4 linked regions of the Elephas maximus indicus genome follow. The protein of the gene in region 1 binds, or shares a complex with, the protein of each later gene. Links are inferred from orthologs where the notes say so. Each region holds a gene or a part of one and is shown on either strand. Other genes may lie near its edges.

The links.
Region 2: the proteins of OGT (region 1) and KRT7 are in contact, whole or in part, in a crystal structure (PDB 4XIF), measured with the Homo sapiens proteins. The link is inferred for Elephas maximus indicus from reciprocal best matches to the Homo sapiens genes OGT and KRT7. Residues at the interface, in NP_858058.1 of Homo sapiens: His506, His508, His509, Asn567, His568, Pro569, Tyr642, Thr643, Lys644, Gln849, Phe878, Val905, Ala906, Pro907; in NP_005547.3 of Homo sapiens: Val9, Phe10, Thr11, Ser12, Arg13, Ser14, Ala15.
Region 3: the proteins of OGT (region 1) and RBL2 are in contact, whole or in part, in a crystal structure (PDB 4XI9), measured with the Homo sapiens proteins. The link is inferred for Elephas maximus indicus from reciprocal best matches to the Homo sapiens genes OGT and RBL2. Residues at the interface, in NP_858058.1 of Homo sapiens: His506, His508, His509, Asn567, His568, Pro569, Tyr642, Thr643, Lys644, Gln849, Phe878, Val905, Ala906; in NP_001310537.1 of Homo sapiens: Thr417, Pro418, Val419, Ser420, Thr421, Ala422.
Region 4: the proteins of OGT (region 1) and ZNF831 are in contact, whole or in part, in a crystal structure (PDB 8FUF), measured with the Homo sapiens proteins. The link is inferred for Elephas maximus indicus from reciprocal best matches to the Homo sapiens genes OGT and ZNF831. Residues at the interface, in NP_858058.1 of Homo sapiens: Phe723, Ile734, Met779, Ile787, Ile790, Asn791, Arg792, Gly793, Leu808, Ala809, Thr831, Arg832, Ser833, Gln834, Tyr835, Gly836, Leu837, Pro838, Glu839, Arg877; in NP_001371283.1 of Homo sapiens: Phe937, Ser938, Pro939, Lys940, Tyr941, Leu942, Leu943, Arg944, Leu945, Pro946.

What each region holds. Positions count from the first base shown.
Region 1 is NC_064846.1:98,167,479-98,174,713, forward strand, and holds the start of OGT (UDP-N-acetylglucosamine--peptide N-acetylglucosaminyltransferase 110 kDa subunit), read right to left. Parts: upstream 3,006-7,235; 5' UTR 2,774-3,005; coding exon 2,737-2,773; intron 1-2,736. UniProt on the Homo sapiens protein: Catalyzes the transfer of a single N-acetylglucosamine from UDP-GlcNAc to a serine or threonine residue in cytoplasmic and nuclear proteins resulting in their modification with a beta-linked N-acetylglucosamine (O-GlcNAc).
Region 2 is NC_064822.1:107,628,376-107,635,503, forward strand, and holds the start of KRT7 (keratin, type II cytoskeletal 7), read left to right. Parts: upstream 1-4,121; 5' UTR 4,122-4,205; coding exon 4,206-4,703; intron 4,704-6,486; coding exon 6,487-6,698; intron 6,699-7,128.
Region 3 is NC_064839.1:19,998,024-20,005,340, forward strand, and holds the start of RBL2 (retinoblastoma-like protein 2), read left to right. Parts: upstream 1-4,297; 5' UTR 4,298-4,420; coding exon 4,421-4,660; intron 4,661-7,317. UniProt on the Homo sapiens protein: Key regulator of entry into cell division. Directly involved in heterochromatin formation by maintaining overall chromatin structure and, in particular, that of constitutive heterochromatin by stabilizing histone methylation.
Region 4 is NC_064843.1:9,963,127-9,970,960, reverse strand, and holds the start of ZNF831 (zinc finger protein 831), read left to right. Parts: upstream 1-4,832; 5' UTR 4,833-5,036; intron 5,037-7,834.

The sequences.
Region 1 (7,235 bases):
TTATGATTAAAAGTACTTTTAAATTATAAATCATAGGTAACATCTAAAGATGCAATGAACGTTATTCCTTAGCCCTTAGTTAACATCCAGAAACAAAACATAAAACGTGTGATTTGCAAGGTCACAAAGACTTACTAATGTCAAATAACCTACTGGGAAACATAATGGCTTTAGGTTGGATTTGCAGGGTGGGGGAGGTGTACTAGTAACAATGTATCTCTTTACCTGGGTGTGTTTTTACTCTTTATATTAATGTTTCTATATTTCGCAATTTAATTTTTTTAAAGGGTGACTCTAGAAACTGAACATAAGGAAAAAAACTAGAAGTCAAAGTGCTATTTTTAAAACAGCTGATAAACAAGATAAATACATCTGTCAAGAGCCAAAATATTTAAAGGGGTCATCCAACAATTTAAATAAAGACCCAAGATTATATTGCTCTTCTACCATCCCAAAACTCACAAGGATACTAAATTAGCTAAGCCCCACCCACGCTGTTTTAACACTAGCATTTTCCAAAGAGCTCTGGCACTGAAGAATTAAGACACTGAAAACAACCCTATATAAACCAAGCAGTTACCTACAACTGTAATGGTTTAAAAAAAAAAAAAAGGAAAATGCTAATATAAAACATCTGATAAAGTTCAACAAGAAATGAATACCAAATAAAAAAAACTTTGCTATGTGTGACTTAATTCAGATACAGAAAGATAGAGGATATGGCTAAAAAAATGGCTAAAGCCCCCCAAAAACCAAACCAAACCAGTTGCCGTGGAGTCAATTCCAATTCCGACTCATAGTGGCCCTACAGGACAGAGCAGTACTGTCCCATAGGGTTTCCAAGGAGCAGCTGGTGGATTCGAACTGCCAAACTTTTGGTTAGCAGCCAAGCACTTAACCGCTGCGCCACCGGGCCTTCGGGGGGAGTGGGGGGACCTAGCAAACTGCCCAAGTCTCAATCTCAAATGCTTATTTGAACAGTAATGCGTTACTGGGAATCTGACCATGGCACTTTAACAAACAACATGCCTAGATCTATCTAGATGGTTGAAATGGGAAACCACGGACAAATTATTTAAACTCTACCAAGGTCACAGTGACAAACTCAAATTTGAGCCTAGCACCCCAATCGTTCAAGCTGGTGTGTGTTCTGGAAAGCAAGTAAATTTTCTGACTGGAATGCACAGCTGACCACGAACACAAAGAGCAGAGGGACTTGCATCCAAATCTGGGGGAGTTTACCTCTCTAGTAGAAACTACAAGATTACATTTTAAATAATTCTTCAGAGCTTCCTAGCTCCTTATTTTAACACATTACTTTGTCACTTTTCAAAGTTGCTTATCTGCTATTATAACACTTCCTCTAATAAAATAACACACTCAGAAAAGGGCAAGCTAGTACATAACCAGAATCTTAAACCTTTAAAAATCACTATGGGGCAAGGAGGAGGGGACCACTGACTAATTATTAATCCCACCACCTATAATTATGGATAAGAGACTATTGAAGATTCACCTATTACTTACAGCACAATGTCCAAAAATAACAAATAAAAAACCTTTGACACATTTCAACCAATAAACAAACAAAAAAAAAACCTCGTAGGAAACCTTAGAACCACCGCTCAATCCCCCCTCCCTCCCTGCCCCAAACAGCCTCAATATGGAAAAGCAGCTAAAGGAAACCCCTAGAATTTGGTTGGGTTTTTTTTTTGTTGTTCGTGTACCAAATGCTTTCGACTGAATTGTCTAAAAGGGCAACCGCCTTGCACTTGTGCAGCTACACTCCAGTTGCTTTACAAACTCTTCAAGCAGGGATGAAACTTAAAAATACATACACCCTATGAAAAAAAGAGACTCTGGGCTATAGGATGGGGATGGAAGACCCAGAGGCGGCGGCGGAGGAATACATTGAGAAAGTAACACAAAGCGAAAATTCTGAAAGCAGGATGGTCAGTGCGAAAAAAGCGCACCAGGCTGGTTTGTCCCACAGGGGTAGGAACTGGACCACAAAGCTTACAACCTCTGGAAGGAAAGGGCGTGGTACCCCGCGAGAGGGAAAGGAGAGTAGGGTGGGAAGTCCGGGCCAGCGGCAGCATGCGGAATTGGGCGACGGCAAAGCGAACCCCTGGAAATTTCCAATCCAAACCCGGGCCACTCAACCGAAAGAACACTAGAAAGGCGCTGCCCAGCGGGGTGCTTGCCCAATGTCCCCACTTCTCAGGTTCCTTGCAGCAACCGGCGAGCTTCTGCTCGTCTTTGGGTGATGCAAAGCGGGGATATGATTACACCGGAATGGCACCCCCGCCCTAGATTGACAAAGAACCAAACCTGGCTAAGGCGGAAGGGTTGGAGGGGGCTGTGGAGAGAGAAGAGGAGAGGGCGGTGAACTGGTTTCGGACAGAGAACGGTAGTGAACGAAGAGTGAAAGGGCAGGGATTCCAATGCAGTCCATTCTTAGCGCGCACGTGTGCTAGAAGCGTTCCGAGTAGAACGCGAGAACACACACATTGAGAAGCCAGAAAGGACGCAAAAAGCAGAAAGAATGAAAGAGATAAATGCTTGAGAAAGGCAAGACAGAGGAAACACCGACCAGATGCCGGTAGAACACGAACAGCTCAGCAATGCCACTGATGTAATGGGGGCGGCTAGAGGGAAGGGAGGGGGCGGTGAGAGGCAGAGAACGGCGCGAGACCCCGAAGCGGCGTCTGCTAAGATAGAACTGGACACCGATACCTGTGCTGTCGGCCACGTTGCCCACGGAAGACGCCATCTGGAGCTTCTTGGGGGAGAGCGAGGAGGGGGTAATTGAGTCCCGCCGCCGCCGCTAGTGGCAACAATGTTTCTGGAGGTAGTGGTAAGAGAGCAGGAGCTGTACTGGTGTCCTGTGAGTCTTAAGCGGCGGCAGGCGTCATAGGCTTCGAACCTTAGGAACTCTGGTTGACCATCTACCTCTCACGATCTTGAAATGGCGGCGACGGCTCCTCGGCCGAAACAACACGGGCCGGAACTACTTTCTGTTACAATCAAGTACCAGAGCGGAGGTAGCGCGGTAACCGGCGCTACAGACGACAAAATGACTATAATCAAAGTCGCTTGCTCTTATGTAGCCTTCCGCGTAGGGCCCATTGCGACAAACACGATTGTGTCGAGAGCGCATGCGAGCAGCCCTGTCAACCTGACTCGCGTCTAGGGCACACTGTCTAGGGCATGAGCGCCCAAGTTTTGTTTTGTTTTTTTATTATAGTGAAGCATAAGGTTAAAAAAACCCATACATTTGCCGCATAAATTTTTTCCGAAGTGGTAAAGTATCGCCAATGATGTAGATTTTAAACATAAATGCCAAAGGAGTCTAAAAAATTTAATCAAGTTTATTCACACAAAAAATGGATAGTTACAAGGCTGATGATTACAAATCATGGATCAGTTCTAAGCAAGTAAATGTAAATAATCTTATTTAAAAGCTGAACTGTTCTTCAAAATGATGGCGGAGGGGGTTCCAATTTGAACACGTCTTAATTCAGACCCCAGACATTGATGAAAACGACTGATACTTTTCACAGGGCCAAATGAATGCAAACATCTCAGGTTTTGGTCATATAGCCCAAAATTTGAAAATCGTTTTGGTATTCAGGATAGTTCTGCCCACATTAATGGGGCAGATGTTAATGCTTAATAACTCAGGGACACCCTGAGGGTTTGCACTCCAAAGGCAGGCATTGAAATGTTAAATGACTCATATTCGTCAAAATCCATGACTCTTCTGAGTTGTGGCTTCATTTCCACCAAATAGCTCTGCAAATCATCACAATCTGAGATTCCACTGAGCTCAGAAGCAGTTCAACAGAGATAAATGAATTCATTTCCCATCTGCCTAAACCACACATCTAGTTTGAGTCTGAATTACCTCCACTTCCTTGAACAAATCAGCTCTTATTATCCCACTGCAGTTTCAAGTCCGTGTTCAGATATGTTGTCACATTAGTATTAATTTATACCTCATATCTTGTTTCAGAAAGGATTTAAGACAGCTTGCCACATTAGCAAGAAATTAGTATAAGCCACTAGAGGCCATGATTTGGATCTCTAAGTGTCCTTTTATTTCAAAAAGTCCTTGGTCTAAGAAAGCAGGTCAGTGAATTTCTTCAAAAAGTTTTTACTACTACATTAAAAAACAAAAAAGTCCTCAATGCTCTGCTTTAATTTCTTTCAGACAGTCCACAAACTTTTTAATTATGGATAGGAGCACAGAGAAAAGTCATAACATGATCATTTCTTCCATCACATAATCAGGAGTCACATCATGCAGTGAAAAAGACAAACTGCACAAACCAAACCCACTGCCATCGAGTCGATTCCGACTCACAGCGACCCTATAGGATAGAGTAGAACTGCTCTGTAGGGCTTCCAGGGAGCGCCTGGTGGACTTGAACTGCCGACCTTTTGGTCAGCAGCCTTAGCACTTAACCACTACACCACCAGGGTTTCCTGACTGCACAAACTGTCCTGAAAATCGGGCACCAATCTCTTAATTGGATTTAACTGGTAAAATCTTTTTTTTTTTCTTTCCCCTCTCACTAAAAGTACCCCATCTGTGATGAATAAACTCAGTTTTTCAACTTTTAGAACAGACTTCTCAAATTCTATTGGCAGATGTTTGGGTCTAACTGATTAACAGGTGATAGCTAATTAAGTAGAATGCTTTATGTTGTTAAATGCCAGGTAATGCTCCCTGCATTTGGCCCGTTGAAACTTGTGGTCTAAGGCTCCCCACCCTGAGAGAAGAGTCAAAGGATATTATGATACAATTTTGCTGCTAGGGAAAGCAGGATGGTGGGGCTCACAGGGGCACAACAAGAAAAAAAAACTCTGTTGGAATCTCAGCAATCTCATTCCAGGTACCTTCTAGGAATAGCATTTGGAGGGTTTAGCTTGAAGGACTTAGTCATCAGACAAACACACCTTCTTCAGCCAATCAAATAACAATTACTAGAGTCTCTGTATGCAAGGCAGTGTGGGGGATACAGAAATGAACAAGACAGGATCCTTGCCCTCAAGGAACTTGAAGCCTAGCCACTAGAGAACAATACAGGAGAATATTATTTAAGTGATAAAATATGTTCTTGTGTGTGTGGCTAATTGCCTCCATGAACAACTGCCTCCTTAGCCATGAGGCAAGAAGAACTGGATGGTGCCTGGCTATCATTACTAAACATTTTGATCAAAGATTCTATAGAAAAATCCTGATCAAAAGGGGGGAAACACAGAACAGATTTTCAAATTCTCATAGATGCCACACTTTCTGGAACCATGGAGGTTGGGTGAACCTCTGAAACTATTGCCCCAAGATAACCTTTAAACCTTAAGCCAAAAATATCCCCTGAAGCCTTCTTAAAATCAGACAACAGTTTAACTTAACTAGTAAAGAATGTCTTCCTTGAGTATTGTGCATTTTTAAGTTCTATCTATATGGGATCAAATTGGCAACTTGAAAGATTAGACAGGAAACTTATAAGGGGCAGTGAGTTTATGCTAATGGAGAGGAACAATTCAGAAAAGGAGGGTGAGAATGGTTGCACAACTCGAAGAATATGATCAATGTCCCTGAACTGTACATGTAGAAATTGTCAAATTCATGTATGTTCTGCTGTATATATTCCCAACAACAACAAAAATAAATTATTTTTAAAAAATATGTTCTATCTAAACACACAATATAGGCGAGGTCAGCACAACTGGATTAAACCAAAAGCAAAGAAGTTTCCTGAATACAGCTGAACACTTCAAAGGCCAGAGTAGCAGGGACAGGGTTTTGGGGACCATGGTTTAAGGGGACATCTAGGTCAATTGGTGTAACAGAAAGTATTAAGAAAACCTTCTGCATCCCACTTTGGTGAGTGGCGTCTGGGGTCTTAAACACTAGCAAGTGGCCATCTAGGATGCATCAATTGGTCTCAATCCACCTGGAGCAAAGGAGAATGAAGAACACCAAAGACAAAGGTAAAGATGAGCCCAAGAGATAGAAAGGGCCACATAAACCAGACTACATTCGTCTGAGACCGGAAGAACCAGATGGTGCCCAACTACCACTAATGACTGCCCTGACAAGGAACACAACAGAGAATCCCTGATGGAGCAAGGGAACAGTGGGATGCAGATTTCAAATTCTAGTAAAAAGACCAGGCTTAATGGTCTGACTGAGACTAGAGGGATCCTGGAGGTCATGGTCTCTGGACCCTTTGTTAGCCCAAGACTGGAACCATTCCTGAAGCCAACTCTTCAGACAGGGATTGGACTGGACTATGGGATAAAAAATGATACTGGTGAAGAGTGAGCTCCTTAGCTTATGTAGACACATGAGCCTATGTGGGCAACTCCTGTCTGGAGGCAAGACGAGAAGGCAGAGGGGGACAGGAGCTGACTGAATGGACACAGGGAATACAGGGTGGAGGGGAGGAGTGTGCTGTCACACTAGGGGGAGACCAAGGTGTATATAAGTTTTTGTATGAGAGACTGACTTGATTTGTAAACTTTCACTTAAAAAAATTTTTTTTCACTTAAAGCACCATATATATGTGTATATATATATATAAAATATATATATGTATATATATATATACATATATATATATAAACACCAAAACCAAAACCCACTGCCATCGAGTCAATTCTGATTCATATATATATATATATATATATATATATATATATATATATATATATATATATATATATATGTTTCTGTCTAAAAATACCTGGGGAGAAAACAATCACTTCAGGCTGGAAGGAAGGTGAGGGAGAAGGCCTGAGCTGGGCATTGAAGGAGGTACTTTTGCGTATTTCTTCTCTTTCCACTGATTTCTCGTTCTTTTTCTTTTCTTTTTTCCCTTTCATGTACAACAATTTTTATAAATCAGCTGTTTCTTCAGCTCCAATCCCAAATTTTGCCACCCTGATAACACCATTAATGGTGTATTAATTTTCTATTACCACATAACAAATTACCACAAACTTAGCAGCTTAAAACAGCACACATTTTGTGGCAGCCACGCCAGAGTTGTGAAAGGAAGCAGAGCCCAGTGTGCTGCCACTGCCGCTGCCAGTGGAAAATGGCTCCAAAGGTAAAACGAAGCGGGGAAAATACACCAATGTGGCATTGTAGCCTCTCCAGATGTTTAGGGATAATATTCCAGAGAAAAACCAATTCCTCTGAATTAGGTAACCAGTCATAATGA
Region 2 (7,128 bases), on another chromosome or scaffold:
ACACACAGGTAAAAACTCCACCAGTATATAAAGGGTTTCACTCTTTTTAATAAACAGTATTCCTTTGAATGTACATAGTACAGTTCATTAAATCACTTCCCTTTATGCATTTATCATGTTTTGAGTTTTTTGCTACTATCAAACCATGGCAACAGAGACCACATTCATATGCACACATTTGGTGAGAACATCTGTAGGATGAGTCCTTGGCAATGGAATTACTTGGTCAAAGGACAAGTTATTTATTTATTGAGGTAAGGGCAGATGTCTTTAATTTTGATAGCTATTGCCAACTGGCCCTCCAAAGAGAACGCACAAATTGGTAACCTCACCAAGAAAGGACAAAGCATTCTATTACCCACACACCCGCCAGTGCTGTTATTAATAACACAATTTAGTCTTTGGGGGTTTGATAGATGAAAATTGCTTTTCATTGCTATTCTTACTACATTTCTTTAATTTGATGAGGTGGAGCTCTTTTTTCATGTATACTATTTGGTTTTCTTTTTTTATATGAACTACCTTACCTGTTCACGGAAGTAATTTAGTAGGTCCATCTTCCAAGGTTCAAATCCTGGCTTTTCTACATACTAGCTGTGTGACCTTGGGCAATTTATTTAAATTTGTTGTGTCTCAGTTTCCCCTCTTAAAATAAGGACAATAACATACACCTGCATCGCAAGTTATTGTGAGAACTAAATGGGTTAATTGGATGCAAAGTACTTAGAAGAGTGCCAGGCAAAATCGTGGTAAGTACAGTGAAGATGGAGCAGGACTGGGCACCATTTCTTTCTGTTTTACATAAGGCTGCCATGAGTGTGAGCCGAGTCCATGGCAACTAACAACAACAACAAACAATAGCTCATAGTATTCATGCCTGTTGCTCACTTTTCTGCTGGGTTGTTTGTCTTTTTCTTACTAATTCGTACAATCAGGAAATTAGCCTGTTGGCTGGCTTATGTATAGCTTCCTTGTCCTTTACCATTTGACCTTTTTTTGTATTATATTTCATACAGAAATACTAAATAGTTTTTATTATGACTACCAGTCTTTGCATTCCAAGATAATTAAAAAAAAAATTCTTTTTTTCCCTGGCCAATCAGGGGACGTTTTTTATGGGATAGACAATGAGTAATGGTTCTGCAAATGCAAAACCAGAAACCAAACCAGTTGCCATTAAGTCAATTCCAACTCATGGAGACCCCGTGTGTGCAAAGTAGAACTGCTCCATAGGGTTTTCAAGGCTGTGACCTTTTAGAAGCAGATCACCAGGCCTGTCTTCCAAGGTGCCTCTGGGTGGGTTTGAACTGCTAACCTTTTGGCTAGTAGTTGAGTGCTTAACCTATTGCACCACCCGAGGACTCCTTCTACAACTGCAGAAGGGAGCAAAAAAGAATGTCTCCCCCACCTGTCTGGAAGAGGAGAAGTAAGCTCCTCCACCAGGGCTGGAGCAGCTGTGGTGTCTGGGACAGTTCAGTGAAGCCTAGAAGGGCTGAGGGACTGGCTTGCTTGTCTGCTCAGATCTGGACTCCAGAAGACGCGGTGGGAAAGGAGGTAGGAAGTGGGAGGACAAGTTGAGTGTGGGCTTGGGGGGGGTGCCACAGAATACTACAAGATGAGAATGAGTCTTTGGGGGTGGGCAAAGGACTACTGGGGGAAGGGCTTTGTAGGATTAATTTATCTCAAGATTCTGCCCAGAATCCCATAAGGTGGTCTCTGGGAGATGGACAGAGGCATGGGCTGGGGGGGAGGGGGAGCTGAGTTTGGATGAACCACTAGACTGCACGCTCTTGTGGGGCAGGGATCCTTGGCTCTCAGTGCTGACAGTTTCTTGAGGACCCCTCCAGTGGGTGTTTATGCACACTGCCTGGCACCAAGTGGGGTCCCAGTGTTGGCCTGTGAATGTAGACAGGTGGACAGTGAGGGGGCTGGAGCTGCCAGGAATGCTTGAAGGGGGGCGGGTGATGGAGAGGCTGAGGGCTGACAGTGGGCAGGGGCTGCAATGGGAAATGTTGCTCAACGGGAGGCTGAAGCCATGGCTCATAGGCCCTTTCTCTGCAATCCCTCCCTCAACTCCCTCTACAACCCCTGTGCCCTTCCAGGTGTTAGGTAAGTGGAAGGGCCACACAAGTGGCCTGGGGAGGGGGAATGATGCATCCAGGGTGACAAGGCAGGTCACTGGCAGTGCCTTGCCAAAGATTCTCAGGCCAGGCTCTAGAGGAGGAATTCCTGGCATGGGTAGGGCACAGCTTCCTCCAGAGTACAGATTCTGGGGGAGGGCTGAAGGTGGGAGAGGATGTGGGGAAGAATGGAAAAGCAGATTGAGGAGGAGTCCTGAGAGGTAAGCACAGAGTGGGTGCATTTGTGTGTGTGTGTGTGTGTGTGAATTAAACAATTAGTCTCCTTTGCCCACTTGGAGGCTGGGGGCGGAGGTGTGGGTGGCTGGAGCAGAATCTCCATGACTGCAAATATCACAGGACCAGGAAATCTATAACTGAGAATTTGAGATTAAATCTCTCTTTCTCCCTTCCTCTCTCTCTCTCTCACACACACAGATGCACACGCATGCATACACACACACAGCAGACTCCACTGTCTCCGTGGGCATCCCTCTGCCTCTGGACTGAGCTGCCCTCAAAACAATGGTGAGGGGAAGGCCTCCCCCAAGAGTGCTGAGAAGCGACTGCCACAGGTTTAGCCTCACCGGGAGTAATCTCTTGTCTAACTGAAATGTCAGACCAGGAAGGGCATTCCATCCCCACCCTTCTCCACCCAGGACTTCCCCTAAGGGCTTGTCTAAGGTGACAATCTGTCCAGCTCATCCAGGTGGGGCTAACGGTGGGCTAAAGGTGACAGGCCTTTCAGCAGTCTTTTCCAAAGGCTCCTCTGGCTGTCCCTGAGCAAGGTCTGGGAATTTTGGAACCTGACCCCCTCCCCCACCCCGCCCGCAGTGGAGGGGGTGTGGCCTGTGTGGCTCCAGGCTACTAGGGAGTGAGGCCAGCACTCAGTTAGCAAAGACTGTCCATTGTGTTCTGTTCCAGCACAATGTTTACCCCCCTCTTGGACTCGGTTTGAAACTGCTGGGGATTGTTTGGTGGTGGCTTCAGTGGGGGAGGTCTGGTAGATGAGTGACTCTTGGTGGCAGACCTGGCGGCCCTTAAAGAGGAAAATGGCAGAGCTGGGGGGATGGGGAGGAGTGTTTGAGCGCAAATACAAGCACAAGCACACAGAAAGGATCACACAAGCAGCTACCAACTTAAAGGTTAGTGGTTCGAACACACCCAGTGGTGTTTCGGAAGAAGGCTTGGTGATCTGCTTCCATAAAGATTACAGCCAAGAAAACCCTATGGAGCAATTCTACAGTGTAACACATGGGGTCACTATGAGTCAGAATTGACAGAACAGGTAGCACACAGATATGCATACAAACGTGCAATTATATATCCACAGACCCTCCTCCCAGGCACACGTACACAGACTCCCACTTCTGTAAGTATGTATACAGACATGCACGCATATATGCCTATGCAAAGTCCAATGACTCACAGCTGTGTACACAGAAGTGTCACAAATACACAAAGGTGTCCCCTTTCTCTACAGGGGCAAATAAAATAGGTGGGCAGGGGTGTGAGTCGGGGTGGGTTGGGGAAGCATAGGCCCAAGGTAACCATTCCCACTGGCTTCAGTTGCCTATTGGAGTGGGCCAGAAGTCAGGCCATGCCCCACTCAGCGTGGAATGAGGTGGGGGGATGTGGTCAGGGAGACCAGCTTGGCCAAGCTCAAGCAGCCTCTCACCGAGGTCTGGCACATCCTGGGGTCAGATTATTCAAGACCTGAGCTGATCTCTGGAGGAGGAGCTGGTTTTGGAAGGTTGGGGTGGGGATGAGGGATGCCATTTTGGCTTTCAGCTGCTGGGGGAGCTGACTCCCAGGACTGAAACTTTTTTGTCCCCCCCACCCCCCCGCCCCTGTCTCTTACCCTCTGGTCTCCCTGTTCTGGCCTCAGGAATTTGGATGTTCTTCATACCTTGCTCAAGCCTCCTTTGGGAAGCTTTCCCTGACTGAGCCCTTCTCAGCTTCCGGCGCCTGCCTGCATCTGGGGGCCTAGGGGTCTACGTCAGCCGCACCCTCCCTCCCCGCTTCGGACCGCTCTTGCTTGGACTGAAAGTCTGGGCCCCGGCGAGGAGGGCGGCGCGGAGGACGGAAATGCGGCCCCAGGAGGGATCTGTCTGGCAGCGAAAGGTGGCTCGTGGCCAGCCCCGCCCCTACCTGTGTAAGCTGATCCGCCCGGCCCAGCGGATAAAAGAGGCCGAGTACACCGGAGGTCAAAGAGTTGCTGCTGCGCCTTGCCTGCTGCTCTGTCCAGCCGGCGTAGCCGCTATGTCAGTCCACTTCGGCTCCCAGGTCTTCAGCTCGCGCTCCGCCGCCTTGCCCGGCCGTGGCGCCCAGGTGCGCCTGAGCTCCGCGCGCCCCGGGGCCTTCGGCAACAGCAGCCTGTACGGTCTGAGCGCCTCGCGGCCGCGCGTTACTCTGCACTCCGCCTACGGAGGACCAGTGAGCGCCGGCATCCGCGAGGTCACCGTCAATCAGAGCCTGCTGGCCCCGCTGACTGTGGACATCGACCCCTCCATCCAGCAGGTGCGCCAGGAGGAGCGCGAGCAGATTAAGACCCTGAACGACAAGTTCGCTTCCTTTATCGACAAGGTGAGCCCTGCACGGACCCTGCCCCGAGCCATGCTCCAGGCCACACCAGCCACCCAAACCCTGCTGGCACACTGGCTAGGCGCTGGGAGACTTGCCCGTTTCCTCTTTTCTGCCAATATCGGGGGATGCCTTCTCAAGTCCTGCTCCCGGCCCACTAACCCTGACGCTATTTTGCCCACCTCTGGATCCAAGCCCTCTCCTCCAGCAAGCTGCCCCAACCGCCCCTCCCTTTCCTGGCAGAGAGAAACTGTGGTGGCGCAGTGGTTAAGCGCTCGGCTGCGCTAACTGAGAAGTTGGCGGTTTGAGAAAGATGTGGCAGTCTGCTTTCCTAAAGGTCACAGCCTTGGAAACCCTATGGGGAAGTTCTACTCTGCCCTACAGGGTTGCTGGACAGCAATGGGTTTGGTTTTTCTCCCAGAGCGTGAGGGTGAGATCTGTCCAGCTGCCCAGGCTGGCTGTGTCTGTGATCCGCTGGGGCTACTGGGGGCAGCTGCATCACCAGTTTCAGGCTGGGAGCTCCAGAGGACAGGACCAGGAGCTCTCTTTCTAGATCCCTTCTCCTGAGGGTGCTGGGTGGAGTCAGGGAAGGGGTGGGAAGTGACATGCCCTTCTCAGCTGCTGAGATCCTCGCCTCCCTCAGATGCTGCCCATGCTGAGGTAGATGATAGAAATAAAGGGCTGGAGGGAGGGAGGCTCCTGGTCTCACCTGCCCCACCTACCTGGTCCTTGAGCCTCTGTTTGGTGGCAGGAAGTGAGGTTACACACCTGTTCTTGGAGATAGCTCAGTTGGGAACGGGGAGGTGGCACTGAGGGACCCTGGGGAGGCGTTTCTCCTGGCTATTTGCTCCTGCCTCACATCGGCCCCACCCATGGGGCAGATGACTGGTGGGCCTGGAAGGGGTGGGGGCAAGGTGGGCATAGCTGGACTCAGGAACTAAGGCCTGGCCCAGTTGGGCCCCTCTGGCCAGAGCTCCCTCCCACTAGCTTAGACCAGGCTTTGCGTCTTCTGATTTTGTGCACCTCCCTGACTCTTTCCCTTCCATCATCCCACCCTGAGAGTCCTCCTCTCCTTTATCATTCAGACTGTACACATCCTCCAGTGTCCCCTGAAGCCAGGCCATCCAGGCCTAGACTCCACCTGTCACTGAGCCGCACTATCTTACTTCTTCAGTCCCCAGGTCCTGGGCTTTGAGATGGCTACTCTTGCCTCCTACTCCCAGCCACAGTGGGTGGTTCTAAGGGCCTTTCTGGGCCCCAGGGCTGGCAGAGGGCTGGCCACATAGTGGGTGCTCGTTTTACATTTTACACAGAGCCCTGTCCTGAGGCCTCCACGGAGGAAAGGGGAAGGAACGAAAGGATACAGACGAGGGAAGAGATGAGTTCCCAGCCTGAGGGGAGAGACAGGCCTTGTCAGCTGAGGACACAGATATGAAGAGGGCAGCCCTCAGAGAGGGAGGTAGAGAAGGGTACCGTAACACGATGGGAGCGAAGGAGGGAGGAGACTCCCAAGCACATTTTTTTGAGAGCCAGGCACCAGAAGTACATTGTGAACTAGGCAGGACTAGTCCCTGGGTTACGCTCTGGGACACTTGAGAAAGAGTTGTGGAAGAGAGACTTATTTAGGGTGGGCTTCCTGGAGGAGAGGGGCAAGGGCTGGGAACTGGTGTCAGGCGAATAGCCAGTGGGAACATAGGCTCAGCTGGGTGGCTGGAGGCCCTTCCCAGCTCCGCGGTGGGGGGTGCCATTGGGCCCCTCATGAGTTCCCATTCTATGTCCCTTGTAGGTGCGGTTCCTGGAGCAGCAGAACAAGCTGCTGGAGACCAAGTGGGCACTGCTGCAGAAGCAGAAGTCAGCCAAGAGCAGCCACCTCCCGGGCATCTTTGAGGCCCAGATTGCTGCCCTTCGGCGGCAGCTTGAGGTGCTGCAGGTAGATGGGGGGCGCTTGGAGCTGGAGCTGAGGAACACGCAGGACGTCGTGGAAGACTTCAAGAATAAGTAATGTCCCCCAGTGTAACCTGCGGGGCAGGGGCCCCTGCCCCTGGGCCATTGCACCGCTTCTGCAAGTCGCCTCTGGGCCAGGGGTCAGAGGCCAACTGCTCAGTACAATAACTCCCTGAAGGACAGGTCTTTCCTAACACATTCCCTGACTCCTCCTCTCCCACTTCTTTGTCCTTCGGGGTTATTTCCAGTTAATTCTGGTCTTTTCTCCTGACTTAATCCCAGTGAATTGTCTCAGCCCAGCCCTGAACTTCACTGTTCCCATTGGGCACATGACCAAGACCCCAAGAGAGGATAGGGCAGAAAGTGCCCTATGATAGATGTGCTTCAGAACTGGCACAACCCTCACAGATAATTCTAGAACAACTCCATATTGTTCGGATGAAGAATTAGAGAGCAAAGAGGTTCAGGGACTTGATGGAGAGTA
Region 3 (7,317 bases), on another chromosome or scaffold:
CATAACTGCCACTAATCCCACTCCACTAACATCATAGAGGTAGGATTTACAACACATAGGAAAAGCACATCAGATGACAAAATGACACAATACTGGGACTCATGGCCTAGCCAAACTGACACACATTTTTGAAGGACACAATTCAATCCATAACACCATATATGACAGAGCAGAACTGTCTCTCAAGGTTTCCTAGGCCGAAATCTTTAGAAGAGCAGATCGTGGAGTAGATCTCTAGGTCTTTCCTCCTGCAGAACTGCTCATGGGTTCAAACTGCAGACCTTTCAGTTAGCAGGTGAGAGCTTTATCTTTGTGTCACTAGAGCTCCTTCAGTTGAGAGGAGGTAGAGCAAAGCCCACGTCAATGAGCCTTGTGGGCAATAGCTGTTCATAAAAGCAGAATGGGCCAAAAGGACAGGATGTGTTTAACCTGGAGTGCCAAGGTTTCCCTGTGTATTAAATCTAGTTAATTGTTCATAGTTTACACTGTAGATTGAATTTTTAGCCCACAAATTCTCATTCACAATACCCAAAGCTGGTCTAAGGGGCAGACTTACTGAGCCCAGAGCATTGTCAGGTGGGAAACCCCAGGTTTTGCTTGGCACAAATTGTCATAGCCAATAACCAAGAGGCCGAGGTGAGAGATCAGAAAGGCACCTTTATTTCGTTTCACAAGGAAAGGAACAGTTGGGGGTAGTGCCTCCTGCTTGGCGAGGGGTAGTGGACAGTTATTTTTATAAGGCTGACATCCAAAGAGATTGTGTAACTCACATTAACAACATTCTTGGTCATATTACACAGGTGTAGTGGGGCCTACATACTGTTACATAGGTCACATATTCAAAAAATGGCAGCTATACTCCACCTAGGGGCAGAGGAGTTAATAAGCATGAGGCACTTAATGTTCTATAGGTCACCAAGAGGGTGCTGGGACCGGTCAAGCCTGATTCTAAACAGTTTTTGTGGCTCTTAGCGAGGCACACAATTCTTGGGAGAAGAGAACATCAGATGGTTAACAAAAGGGTTCTAGCATGACCCTCTCTCAACAGTATCAGTCCGTAAGGACACGAATACCTGACTGAATAAACCAGAATTAAGGTGTGAATAAACTCAGGTATCAACAAGAGACTCCACATATCAGGTGAAATATAAATTAGCACCCTCAATTGGAAATTGAACCAACCAACAAACAGCTCTTACTGATAGCAACACATTTTTTTTTTAATACCTATGGGAAACAAATCACAAACACAGTTGAAGTCATGGTTCTAATAACTCAATCCAGAAGGAATTTTTTTTTTTTTTAACACTTTGAGCCTTATGATCAAAGGAAAAAAAAAAATTTAATTTCATTGTGAGAGGGAATGAAAAATGGTATAGCCATTATAAAGTCTGGCCATTTCTCATGACATTTAATATAATTTTACTATATCCATTGCCATCGAGTCAATTCCGACTCATAGCGACCCCACAGAACAGAGTAGAACTGCTCCATAGGGTTTCCATGCTTGTAAATCTTTACAGAAACAGACTGCCACATCTTTCTCTCATGGACCAGCTCCTAAGTTTTCATTACTCTTGAGTAAATACCTAGAGGTCGTATTGCTGGGTTGTGTAGCAAGTTTTGTTTTTTTATAGCAAGTTTAAGGAGTCCTGGTGGTTCAGTGGTTAAGGCTAGGCTGCTAATCAAAAGTTCAGAGGTTTGAACCCATCAGCTGCTCTGCAGGAGAAAGATGTGGCAGTCTGCATCCATAAAGATCACAGGCTTGGAAACCAATGGAGCAGTTCTACTCTGCCCTATAGGGTCGCTATGACTCCGAATCAACTCCCTGCTTCTTGTGGTGTCAGCTGGGTCAACCAGCTGGGACAACGAACCGAAGGCTGAAAGATCTGCTTCCAAGCTGGCTCACTGAACATGGCTAGGGCTGAGGGCCATGGGCTCCTCCATGTGATCCAGGCTTCCTCAGTGTCGTGGCTGGGTTGAAAGCGTGAACATCTGGGGGCTGGGCGGGGGGAGGTGTGGCAGGAGATGAAAGCTGTATTGTATTTTATGAGCAAGCCTCAGAAATCACGTTATCTCAAGAGCCCCCTCCCCTCACCCTCAGGTTTCAATGGCAAGTTCTAGAAGAGCATGTGAGACTAGAAATACCATTGTAGCCATTTTAGGGACAATCCACCACAGAAGGACTTGAAAATATTGATATTGACAAGCAAATATTATTTTAATAAAATACATATTTGATGGTAATAAAAATAACTCTACTAAATATGGCAAAGGTAATTTTACCTCAGTAAACAATTCAAGTTTTTCCTCTAGTACAGTATTGATAATGGTACCCAAAATAAACAAGATCATTATTTTTAAGTTTAGTGTCCTCAGCCTAAATGTAAGGAAAGTACTAGAATTTTTTATAAAAAAAAAAAAAATTTATAAACCATTCATATTGGGCCTCTGTTCTTGCCCCATAGTCACCTTGAGACTCAGCACTTAGCAAATCCAAATCTAAAAGCATACTAATTAACATTAATTTTAATGAAGGTTTCAGGGAGAGGGTTTCATTGTCTCAAATTGTTCCTAACCCAAAACTAAATGCCCTGAGATAATCTTTGAACCTTAAACCAAAAATATCCCCTACAGTCTTCTTTCAACCAAACAATCGTTTAGCTTAATGAGTAAAGAATGCCCGCCTTGAGCATTGTGCTCTTTTAAGAACTGTGAAGTAAGGAATGCCCGCCTTGAGTATTGTGCTCTTTTAAGAACTGTGTACATGGGGTTAAAGTGACAACAGCAACTCAAATGATTAGATACGAAATTTAGAGGGCAGTGAGTTTATGTTAATGGTGGAGCAACAATTTGGGAAAGGAGGACAAGAATGTTTGCACAACTGAAAGAATGCAATCAATGCCTCTGAATTGTACCTGCAGAAGCTGTTGGTCTGTGTTTTGCTGTGTATACTTTCAACAACAATAGAATAAAAATTGTTCCTAAAACATCCTGTTACTTGCTTTAGTTCCTTTTCTTACCCCAGGTCTCTCCTTCCTATACATTATAGCTTCCAAAAATTCCTTCTTTTGGCCTAGCACTTGGGTTCTTTTCCTCAGTTTAGATAACCCACTGAGCAAAATAAAAATAACAGCAATGTCTTACAATTCCTCAGGCAGGAATCAAAAACCAAACCAAACCTGTCGTGGGTGAGTTCAACTTATAGGGACCCTGTAGAACAGACCAGAACTGCTCCACAGGTCTTCCAAGGTGCAGCTGGTGGATTTGAGCTGTGACCTTTTGGTTAGCAGCCCAGCTCTTAATTACTGTGCAACGAGGGCTCCCTAAAAACAAACAGAACTGGAATTAAAGTGACTCAAGTCTACTACACATATGAAAAGAACAAGTAAAAACATAAAAAAGGGAATAAAGTTAAGCCAACTGGGTAGGTAGTTGATGATAGTGCAAATATGTCCCTTATGAAAACCAAAAATCAAACCTGTTGCCATCAATCCGACTCATAGCGACCCTATAGGACAGAGTAGAAGTGCCCCATAGCGTGGATTCCAGGCTCCAACCTTTTGGTTAACAGCCATAGCTTTTAACTACTACGCCACCAGGGCTTTATGTCTCTCATAAAACCAAAAACCAAACTCATTGCCGTCGAGTCGATTCCGACTCATAGCGACTCTATAGGACAGAGCAGAACTGCCTGGTACTTCCCAAGGAGCGCCTGGTGGATTCGAACTGCTGCTTTTGATTTGCAGCCGTAGCTCTTGGCCACTCTACCACCAGGGTTTCCAATGTCACTTATAGAGAATGCAAATTTGCCCACTGGAAAAATTGAATTATTGCATTAAAGAAAGATTTAAAAAAAAAAACAATAATTACTTTAAAAGGTCACATAAACTTAAAACATAGGAAAAACTCGAAATTAGGAATGGCGCTGTGACTTGAATTTAGGCAAATTAGCCCCTTGCTATTTTTCTTTTTTTTAGCTAAAGTAACTCAGATAACGAGCAAGTATGATTTCTGGGAACAGCTCGGACAATAAGCCTTCGTGTATCCATCCATGTTTCTTGGATGTCAGTACAGCACGGCACTAGGCTAGGTTTTTAGGCAGTACAGCCACGATGGCCCCCCTCACGACCGAGAGGTACGTATACTGCAGAGGTGCCCTTCCAGCTCGGTCGCAGGGAGACGCCCACCCACTGCCCCGGACGTGGTTGTCGGTCCTGCGTTTGGCCCCCGCGGGCACCCGGCCCGGACTACATTTCCCGGCAGGCCACGCCCAGAACTACGGGTGCCTATTTGAGGTGCGGCGCCGTTGGAGGCGGCGCAGTCCGGCGAGGACGGCCGACAGGCGGGCCTTCGCGGTTTGAATGGCTCCGGGCCCTGGCCCTCGGCTCGTCTGAGGACCTGCCGCCCAGAGTGCGCTATGCCGTCGGGAAGCGACCAGTCGCCGCCGCCCCCGCCGCCCCCGCCGCCCGCGGCGGCCTCGGAGGAGGAGGAGGAGGGCGAAGGCGAGGCGGAGGACTCCGCGCAGGCGGCTCTGTCGCCGGTCGCTCAGACCCAGCTGCGGTTCGAGGAGCTGTGCGGCCGCCTCAACATGGACGAGACGGCGCGGGCCGAGGCCTGGGAGAGCTACCGGCGCATGAGCGAGAGCTACACGCTGGAGGTGAGCCGGCCGGGGCTGGGGCCGGGCCGGCCTAGTGCGCCCCGCCCGGGGGCCTTGTCGCCGGGGGCCTTATCGCCGGGGGGGCGTTGTCGCCCGGGGCCCTTGTCGCCCGGGGGCCTTGTCGCCGGGGGCCTTGTCGCCCGGGGCCCTTGTTGCCCGGGGTCGGTGCCGGGCAGCGCTCGGACCCGCGGAGCGCAGCCGGGGAGGCGGGGACGCGCTCTCCGCGCCGTAGCCTGGACGCCGCGCCTGCAGAGCCGTCTTAGCGGCGCCGAGCGAACGCCAGCCGGCTCTCGCTGCTCTTCTCGGCGTGTGACAGCCAGGCCGAGGTCGTGCTGGGGTCGCCGGTTCAGAGATGGGTCGGCGTGACCCCTCCGGCCCCCTGCCCGGCCCGCGGGCCGACTGCCAGGGATCGCACCGGCGCCGCTAGCCCGTGGGGAGCCAGGGGGCAGTGCCCGCGTTGCCAGACCCCGGCGTGCAGCCCGTCTCTAGGCGCCTTCGTGCAGGCATTGCGTCCGTTTAAGTGCACGCGCTGCTGAATTTTGGGGTGTGTTTATTTTTTACGACGAGTCTCCCCCGGGCCAAGTGACTACCCGGTCAGAGACCCACGCCCCCACCTGTCACTAGGAGGTCAGGACTGGGACCACCCCAGACGTCGCCGAGGGGGCTCTTACAGTCTCCGGGACCCGGGCACGTTCTGTTCTTTTCTTCGCACCGGGCTGCAGATGAGAAAAACGGGCAGTCTAGCCAGTGACCGTCAACGCCTCGGGCACCTCCCCTTCCCGGGCCAATGGGGAGTGACACGGAAGTCCGATGGCTTGTCAGCTGTTCGACTGCCAGTATGTGCGGCATTTAAACACGAGTCCACTTGGTTTTCTGAAGTCGTTTCATTTACAGTCTGTGGAAGGAGTCGGGCAAAAATGTTCAGGATGCAAAGGCCTAACCGAGGTCTTACTGTCTTAATAGGGTGTTCTTGCCCAGGTGTCACCCTGCTGAGTAAAGTCATTTTTTGCTCTTCTGGCGTTAATAGACTTCTAATTCAATTGCTAATTCCCACGCCCCTTTGTTATATCTACAGGAAAAAAAAAGTAGTATAGTGGCCTTAGAACCTGACCCCTCTAGGTGGCTTTGGACAACTTACTTAACCACTCCAAGCCTCAGTTTTTTGGTATGTAAAGTGAAGATGTGTTTTTTTTTTTAAAGTGAAGATGTGTGTACCTGCCTCACAGAGCTGTTCTGAAGGTTAAACAAGGTAATGTGTAGTTCGTGGTTCATAGTAGACACTCGTGCTGACAGCGCTTTAGAGTTTACAAAGCTTTTTCACATACTCGGGTGATCTAACTGGATAGGCCATGTTCCTGTTTATCCCTCATGCCCCCTGTGGTCAGGCAAAGAGGAGGACCCTTTTTTGGCAAGGGCATAACCCAGAAGCCAGTGCCGTGGAGTCAATCCCGATTCATAGCGACCCTGTAGGAAACCCTGGTGGCGTACTGGTTAAGTGCTACGGCTGCTAACCAAAGGGTCGGCAGTTCGAATCCGCCAGGCGCTCCTTGGAAACTGTACAGGGGAGTTCTACTCTGTCCTATAGGGTCGCTATAGGAAACCCTGGTGGCATAGTGGCTAAGTACTACAGCTGCTAACCAAGAGGTCAGCAGTTCAAATCCTCCAGGCAGTTCTACTCTGTCCTATAGGGTTGCTATGAGTCGGAATCGACTCCACAGCACTAGGTTTGGTTTTTGTCAAGGGCATAAGCACCACTAAACAAGCTCTTATTTTACCTTCAGTATAATCCTGTACGTTAAGTAGAACAAGCGTTATCACCATGTAGTTAAAGTGTTTCAACTCAATGGAGGTTAAGTTTTATAAGTCCAGTGTTAAACATAAGTGACACATAGTAGATGGTAAGTGAATTATTTTTGAAAACTCATGTTTGATTACCTGATATTTTTTTAAAACTCTAGTCTCAGTTTCTTAGCCCAGTTTACCTAGTAAATGAATGTTCCCTCCTTGGTCAAATATTTCTTGCCCCTTCCCCCTGTTGCCGTCTAGTCGATTCTGACTCATAATGACCCTACAAAAAAACACAAAACCAAACCCACTCATAGCGACCCTATAGGACAGAGTAGAACTGCCCAATGGAGTTTCCAAGGAGCACCTGGCGGATTTGAACTGCCGACCTCTTGGTTAGCAGCAGTATCACTTTACCACTAGGCCACCAGGGTTATAGGATGGAGTAAAACTGCCCCATAGAGTTTCCAAGGACCGCCTGGTGGATTTGAACTGCTGACCTTTATGGTTAGCAGCCATAGCACTTAACTACTACGCCACCGGGGTTTCCATTGGCAAATGATTTCCCAAACATTGTTACAGGTGCTGGGGCTAGAGCAGTGAACAAAACAGATAAAAAATCTCTACCCACATGAAGCTTATATTTATGTATAATGTGAGATAACATGGGATGTTAGTCTCGTGGAGCTGTACAATGGAGTATAAAGCTCACCCCATATAATACTTAGAACAGAATACTGGTTGAAGAATTTAACTGTTTGATTTCTTGTATTTTCTGTGCTTTACAGTTGTTAACTCATTTAATTCTCATAGTCCTCGGATAAGAAAACTGAGCCTCTGGAGCTGTTAAGTAGTTTGCCCCCCCCCCCCAA
Region 4 (7,834 bases), on another chromosome or scaffold:
TCTCTAAATGTTTGGTTGAATTCCCCCAGTGAAGCCACTGGTCCGGGACTTTTTTTTTGTTTGTTTGGTCGGGAGGTTTTTGATCACTGATTCAGTCTCTTCACTTATTATGGGTTTGTTGAGACTTTCTATTTCCTCTTGAGTCAGTTTGGACAGTTTGTGTCCTTCTGAGAATTTGTTCTATTCATCTAGGTTATCCAGTTTGATGCCGTACAGTTGTTCATAGTATTCTGTCATAATTTTCTTTATTTCTCTTGAGTCAGTTGTAATGGCTCGCTTTCATTTTTTATTTTGGTCATTTGCATCTTTTCTCTTTGTCAGTCTAGCTAAATGTTTGTCAATTTTATTGATCTTTTTAAAGAACCAACTTCTAGTTTTATTAGTTCTTTCTGTTTTCAATTTTATTTATTTCTGCTCTGACCTTTGTTGTTTCCTTTCTTCTGGTAGGTTTAGGCTTAGTTTGCTCTTCTCTTTCTATTTCCTGGAGTTGTTGAGTTAGGCTGTCGGTTTGAGAGCTTTCTTCTGTTTCATGTGGGCATTTATTTCTATAAGTTTCCCTCTGAGTACTGCCTTTGCTGTATCCCGTATGTTTTGGTATGCTGTGTTTTCATTTTCACTTGACTCTAGGAAATTTGTGATTTCTCTTTTGATTTCATCCTTTACCGACTGGTATTTTAATAGTGTGTTGTTTGATTTCTAGATGTTTGTGTATTTTCCAGGTTTTTTGTTTTGTTTTGTTTTTGATATCTAGCTTCACTTCATTGTGAACAGAGAAAATACTTTGTATGATTTCAATCTTTTAAAATTCGTCAAGATGAGCTTTGTTACCTAATATGTGGTCTCTCTTGGAGAGTAACCCCTGTGTACTGTAGGAGAATGTGTTTTCTGCTGTTGTTGACTGGAGTGTTCTATACATGTCTGTTAAGCCTACTTGGTTTACAATGTCTTTCAAGTCCTCTGCTTCCTTGCTGATCTTCTTTCTAGATGTTCTGTCCGATATTGAAAGTGGTGTATTGAAGTCTCCAACTATTATGGTAGTATTATTTCTCCCTTCAATCCTAACAGTGTTTGTATATTTAGTTGCCCCTATATATATATATATATATATTTATGATTGTTAGATCTTCTTGATTAACTGATCTTTTTATTACTGTTTTCATTGTGTTTCTTGGTAGTAATCCATTCACCCATCATTTCCTCCTCGAATAGTGCCTAGTATATAGTAGACGTTCGAATTCTCAGCCAATGAAAGATTAAACGAATTGGATATTTATTTACATTATCCTTTGACCTTTGTCTTTTCACAGGACTGTGCTTTTGTTTTGGTTTTCATTAAAAAAAAAAATAGACTATATTTTTTAGAGTAGTTTTAGGTTTACAGAGAAATTGTGCAGAAAGTATAGAGAGTTCCCATCTCCCTCATCTACCCTCATCACACAGTTTCTCCTGTTATTAACATTTTGCATTCCTGTGGTAAGTCTGTTACAATTGACGAACTAATATTGACACATTGTTACTAAACTCCATTGTTTACATTAGGGCTCACTCTTTGTGTCCTACAGTTCCATGGGATTTGACAGATGCGTGGTGTCATGTGTCCAGCATTACAGTGTCATGCAGAATAGTTTCACTGCCCTAAAAATACCCCCTGTTCTACCTGTTCATCTCCCCCTCCCCGAGCCCTTGGAAACCACTGATCCTTTCACTGTCTCCACAGTTTTGCATTTTCTAGGATGTGGTAGAGTTGGAATCATATAGTACCTTTTCCAGGCTGGCTTCTTTCACTTAGCAACACGCATTTACGGTTTTTCCATGTCTTTTCCTGGCTCGATAGCTCTTTTCTTTTTATTGCTGAATAATGCTCCATTGCATGAATGTACCAAAATTTGTTTATCCATTCATCTACTGAAGGAGATCTTGGTTGCTTCCAATTTTTGGAAGTTATGAATAAAGCTGCTACAAACATTTATGTGAAGGTTTCTAAGTAGACATATATTTTCAACTCATTTGGGTAAATACCTAGGAGTGTGATTGCTGGATCTCTTGGTAAAACTATGTTTAGCTCTGGAAGAAATTTCTAGACTGCCTACCAGAGTGGCTGCACTGTTTTGCAAAGGACTGGCGTAGGAAGTGCTCAAAGAGAGGATCATTGCTTGGCCTGATGAGTGAGTGACTAGATGGACGGAGAAGGTGCTAGAAATTCGAGGCTAAAAGTCTGGCCTCACTTCCCGTTTTGACTCTGGAGGAAACTGGTGTCATTGGCTAGTGTGGGCCCGTTTCAGAAACTTGGCTGGTCATCCCTTCCTCGAAAGCCTCTTTGAGAGGGGCTAGTCTCTACATTCATTTCCTCTCACATACCCTCTCTTCCTTCCCTCCTAGGATGCACCTCTCCCTCACTTTGGCCACAGCAGGCCTGGCCCCCGTGACTCTCCAGGGCTTGAACCCATCTGGGACTTTTCCCCTGTTGTGAACAAAACCATCTCAGGGGGCTGGATTCCCAGGAGTACCTAGTGGGTGCTACCTGGGGGACCAGAGCAAGACACAGCCAAATTGTCTTCCTTGAGGCCAGGCAGTTGGCTGGATCGTCATCTGAACTTGAATTTCACTTTCTTTTTCTGTTGTGCTCAGGACTGCATCCTAAGTCAGCCTGAAGATTTGTGGAAAAGAAAATCCAGAACTCAAAATGGGTACATCCACGTTGTCATCACGACCGGTTAGCCTCTTTCTGAGTAAAGATCAACAATAATTTTCAGCTTTGTTTAAAGCCTCTTTAATGGATTCTCTGAAATGCTCTAATTACAAATGATTACCCATCGAAGAGCTCACAAGCCCTTTGGAACTCCTCCACATGCTCACGAGGAGCTCAAGCTGTCTGAGGTGCTCAGGCAAGAGGGGGGCAGCCCTCTTCTTCTTTAAATCATGTCGTTTGGAGAGTTTACTAAGGCAAGCAGGCTTTCTCTCTTTTTGGTCTGAGGCAATGGGCTCTTTCTTCACTTTCCATCTGTTTCCGTCTTGTTATCCAGCAAGAAATTAGATGCCTTTTAAATTATATGGAAGTCTCTTTCTTATCAAATACCACCACAATGCTTTCCGGTTTACACAGGATTCTGCAATGTATTGTCTCTTTGAACTTCATGAAAACCTCTGAGGGAGACTGGAACATCCACTTTTTAGACTAGGGTTTCTCAGCTTCCATACTATTGCTGTTTGGGGCCATACACTGTACTGGGGGCTGCACATTGTAGGATGTTTGGCAGCATCCCTGGCCTCTACCCACTAGATGCCAATAGCAGCTTCTCAATTGTGACAACCAAGAATGTCTCCACACATCACGCAATGTCCCCTGGGGAGCAAAATCACCCTTGGTTGGGAACCATTGACTTAAATCCATTTTCAGATGAGGAGGCTGGGGCTCAAGTGAGGGGAAGGGCCCATAGATGATGAGTTGTAGAGCTAGGGCCTGCCAGCCTCTTACCTTCCCTTCACTAGATGGCCTATAAAACCAAAAGAAGCCAAACCAGTTTCTGCCAAGTCGATTCTGACTCATGGTGACCCCAGGAGTTCCTGAGTAGTGCAGTTGGTTAAGTGTTTGACTACTAACCAAAAAGTTGGCAGTTCGAACCCACCTAAGGGAGCCTTAAAAGACAGGCCTGGTGATATGCTTTGGAAGGGTCACAGCCTTGAAAACACTATGAAGCAGTTCTACTCTGCACATGTGGGGTTCCCATGAAGATGGTCCATACTAAAACCCACTGCCATCGAGTTGATTCCGACTCATAGCAACCCTGTAGGACAGAGCAGAACTGCCCCACAGGGTTTCCAAGGCTGTAATCTTTATGGAAGCAGACTGCCACATCTCTCCCATGGAGTCATTGGTGGGTTCCAATCACCGAGCTTTCAGTTAGCAGCCAAGTGCTTAATCACTGTGCTCCCAGGGCTCCTTAGGATGGTCCATAGGAGCCTCCAAGACTAGCAGAGCCCTCCATCTTGTCCTGCCATCCTGTCATCATCATCCCAAATGAGAATGCCTTTCCTGGTGAAATTCTCTCCTGGGGTTGAAGCATTTCATGCCTTTGCTCTTCCGTCTCCCTTCTGGAAGATCTGTGAGCTGGGAGGACAGGCTTGGACGTCTCGCTGTGATCTCCATGGTGCCTGCACAGGCCTGCAAGCAGGGAGGACAGGCTCGGACGTCTGGCTGTGATCTCCATGGTGCCCGCACAGGCCTGCGAGTAGTGGGCCCAGTGAGTCTGCAGATCTGGGCATGGCACCACTGATGACCCCGTGAGTTAGAGCCTGCTCCCTGGTCCAGGATGGCTCCCTCGCTGGGTGTGAGAAGAGAAACTCAACCTTGGGTGTGAGAAGTGAAACAAGTGAGAAACTCCTCAAATATCTGGATGTTCCCCAAGCAGTGGGGGTCACTCTTGATGACCTAACCTACCTATCCATCCCAGTAGCCTTGCAGGGTGGTGTGGCTGGAAAAGGTGGGGCCAGAGGATCCCAGATGCAGAACGCCTGCTCCCGCCCTCCTCCTCAGAAACTCAAGAGGAGAGATTGAAGGGAGTTGAGTGCTGAAAGAGAAAAGAAAACAGAAGTTTCCATTTGTACCGGATGGTTTTGTTTTTTTATCTGTTTGCAAATGTTCACTCTAACGGTTTGAAACCTAGCGGGTGTAGCTGCTGCCGCCCACACATGAAGCTGCAGTGGTACGGAGCTCTAGCTGGCAAACCGTATTACCAGCAACGGCCATTACCCGTCCCCACCCAGAACAGGCTCAATACCTACCCCCGCTGTCCCTAGGCCACCCCCTACCGCCCCAGCACCCCAGACGCCCACCACCCTCCACACACAATTTCTTTCGTTCTTTTTCTTCTTTTTTTTTTTTTAAATTTCCAGCACTCGGCTTTCTCTAGAGAAGGCATAAAGAGAAGCAAAGGCAGAAATGGGACGAGCAGAGAGACTGCTCCTGCCTCGTCGGAGCCACCAGCTTTCGGGAGCGAGCGGCAGCCCCCACCTGCCTGTGGACTGACCCCTGAAAGGTGAGAGAGGACTTTGATTTCTTTGTGCAGCTGGAGGTCTGGGAAGCAAGGCCGGATGAAGGGGTCTTATCACGGAGCCCCGGCTGCTGCCTTTCGAGTGATTCTATCCGGCAAGCATGATGGATGCCTCCTCCAAACACACGCAGTGTCTCCCACACAAGCCCCCTCTCGAGAAGGCCCCCTCTCACCAGGGCCTCCTGCTCCCCTCCTCCATCTTCCAGCCCAGCCCCCCAAAGCTAAGATATGGATGAAGGGATTATTCTACTTTAAGCCTAACCTGTTGATTTTCGACTGAGGCTGCCAGGCTGCTGACCTTTCCTTCTAGTGAGCAGGACCCAGGCTTTCTGGACAATATGGAATGGCTCTCCACCCAAGGGGCTTTGGGAAGCCTGTTTCCCTAGTGGCCTCAAGCCCGGTAATCAGAAGCAGTCAGACCCAGCTGCCCAGCTACTCTGTATGAAATAGTCTTCTTTCCTGGTAGAAATCAACAAAGTTTACAATAGAAGGGACGGTGATCAGAGACTCAGCTACAGAGTGCTGTGCGAGGTGCAGCAGGCCAGGACATCCACAGGGGAAATGCTGAGCACAAATTAGGGCTCCCCACCATGTGAACCAGGAAACAAAAAAAGAAAAAGGGTTTCCTTGCTTATGAAGCATGTTCGTGGGTCGAAGGGTAGCCGAGCGGGGCCATCTCCTCTGGAAGGCTTAGCCCTCTGAACAAGGACAGAGAGAAAGGAAGAACAACAAAGCTGGGAAGGTAGACAGAAAGGCCATAATGTAAAGCATGTAACAGAGCAGACAAAAGCTCCCAGCTCTGTGCGTGAGGGATGAATCAGTTGGCAGAAGTCTATTTTTAGAGTTCCCAGGATCTGATGCTACATCTTGCCTGGCATTAATTAATGTCACAGGCATGTTTTCAGCCCCATGTTCTGAAGGGCCTTAGCACGTCACTCAAAGGAGGTGGCCCTCATGGACGGGCCCTCTCTGGGCCTCATGGGGTCTGGGCTCCTACACAAACACGTGTCCTGGACGTTCCGCTTCTTGGCCTTGTCCCCACCAGGTGTATCCGTTAATCTCCTGGCTCCAGCCCTTGGATATCTGGCCACAAGCCAAGGGAGAATTACAATTGTTATGGTTTGTTTTTCAAAAAGGAAAGCCTGAACAAGCTGAAATTGGAAAAAAGATGTTGCCTCATGGCTTGGGATTAAAAAAAAAAAAAGGCTTTGGGGGCAACTCTACGACCGCGAGGAAGAAGGATGAGGCCCCCCTAATCTCCAAACAAGGCCGATTCGACAAAGTAGATTTCATAACTGAGGAACGTATTCCAATGAAGTTTAGAGAAAGTGTATAATATTTTAGCAAGAAGGCATTATATGACTGGGGTGATCAGATGCTGGCTGAAATAGCGTGTGAGGCTAATTACCCCCGCAAAGCTTGGCCCCATTTCAGAGCTGAGGCTGTAAATCTGAAGAACAATTTAAATGCAGGAGTGATTGTAAGCAGCACGCCTTGTTTTCTGAGGTGATAACAGGATAACAGTGCAAAAGGCAAGAACGAGAAATGGAAGGCCAAGTGGGAGTCCAACTGTTGGGACAACCATGTTTGTACATTCGCAACAATTATTAGGTCAGTGAGAAAGTGCGGATATATCATGGCCACTGATTAGGAGACACATCCCTTAAACTCTCTTAAATTATTCGAAATATTCTACCATTATCATGGAGTCCGAGCCTCTGGTGGTACAAACAGTTAAGCACTCGACTACTAACCTAAAGGCTGCCCCAGAGATGCCTTGGAAGAAAAGACTGGCAGTTGGCTTCTGAAGGCCTTGACAACCCTATGGAGCACAGCTCTGCTCTGAAACACACGGTGCTGGAAACGACTCGATGGCAACCGGCTGCCATAGAGTCAGACTCAGCCGTTGACTAGTGAGTTGTCCAGCGACATTTATCAAGGTAGTCATCCTTTCACTCATAAGTCATTTGTCATTGGTCCATCCAAGACGGGCATGACCGATGTCCCAAGAGTAGGCTGGAAGGATCCCAGGATGACCTGTGGCACATGGCCATTCCATCTGATAAATGGAAAAATGCAGAGTAGCTGATCTCCGCTGACCCTTGCCAAACCGGTTTCCAGGTTTTCAAGAAAGATTGCCCCTGAGTTTCTGAAAGTCTTGAGGAGAAAGATCACAACCACCCAGAGGGTATGAGCAAGCAGGGTGCCCACGACTTTGGGTCTCATGCCTGCTGCGAGGTTCAATTCCATCCTTTCACCCAGAGAGCTGATTCAGGGCTCTTAAGTCACTCATCTCACCTCCATGTGTCTGGGGTGAGTCCTGCCCTCCCGGCTACACTCGCACACCGTGGACACTCTTTGTCACACCCTTTCCCAGGGCATTCTGAGCCTGGGAAAGGCAGGCACAGTTGGGTTGTTCTAAGCTGGAACCCTGAGTTCAGCCTTGGCAAGAGGCCATGGGAGGAGCCAGGAGACGGTCTCTCCATTCGTCAGGAGGTCCTCTGGCCCGTTCCAGGCTGGCCATGTCTGTGACCACAGATGTATGGGGTGTGTGTTCTTCTTGGCATGTCACACAAGGCATGTGGCTTCCAGATCCCTGTCCTCTGCCATCTGACCAGAGGATGCCACTAGGAAATCAACGGAAACGTCCTCTGGTGCCCCAAACTGAAGTCCTTTTGCTGTTTGGTTGTTTCTTTATGCATCTGACATGGTTTGACATGCAAGATCAGATGGGAAAAAACCCAGTTGCCATCCAGCCAATTCTGACTCCTGGCAACCCCATG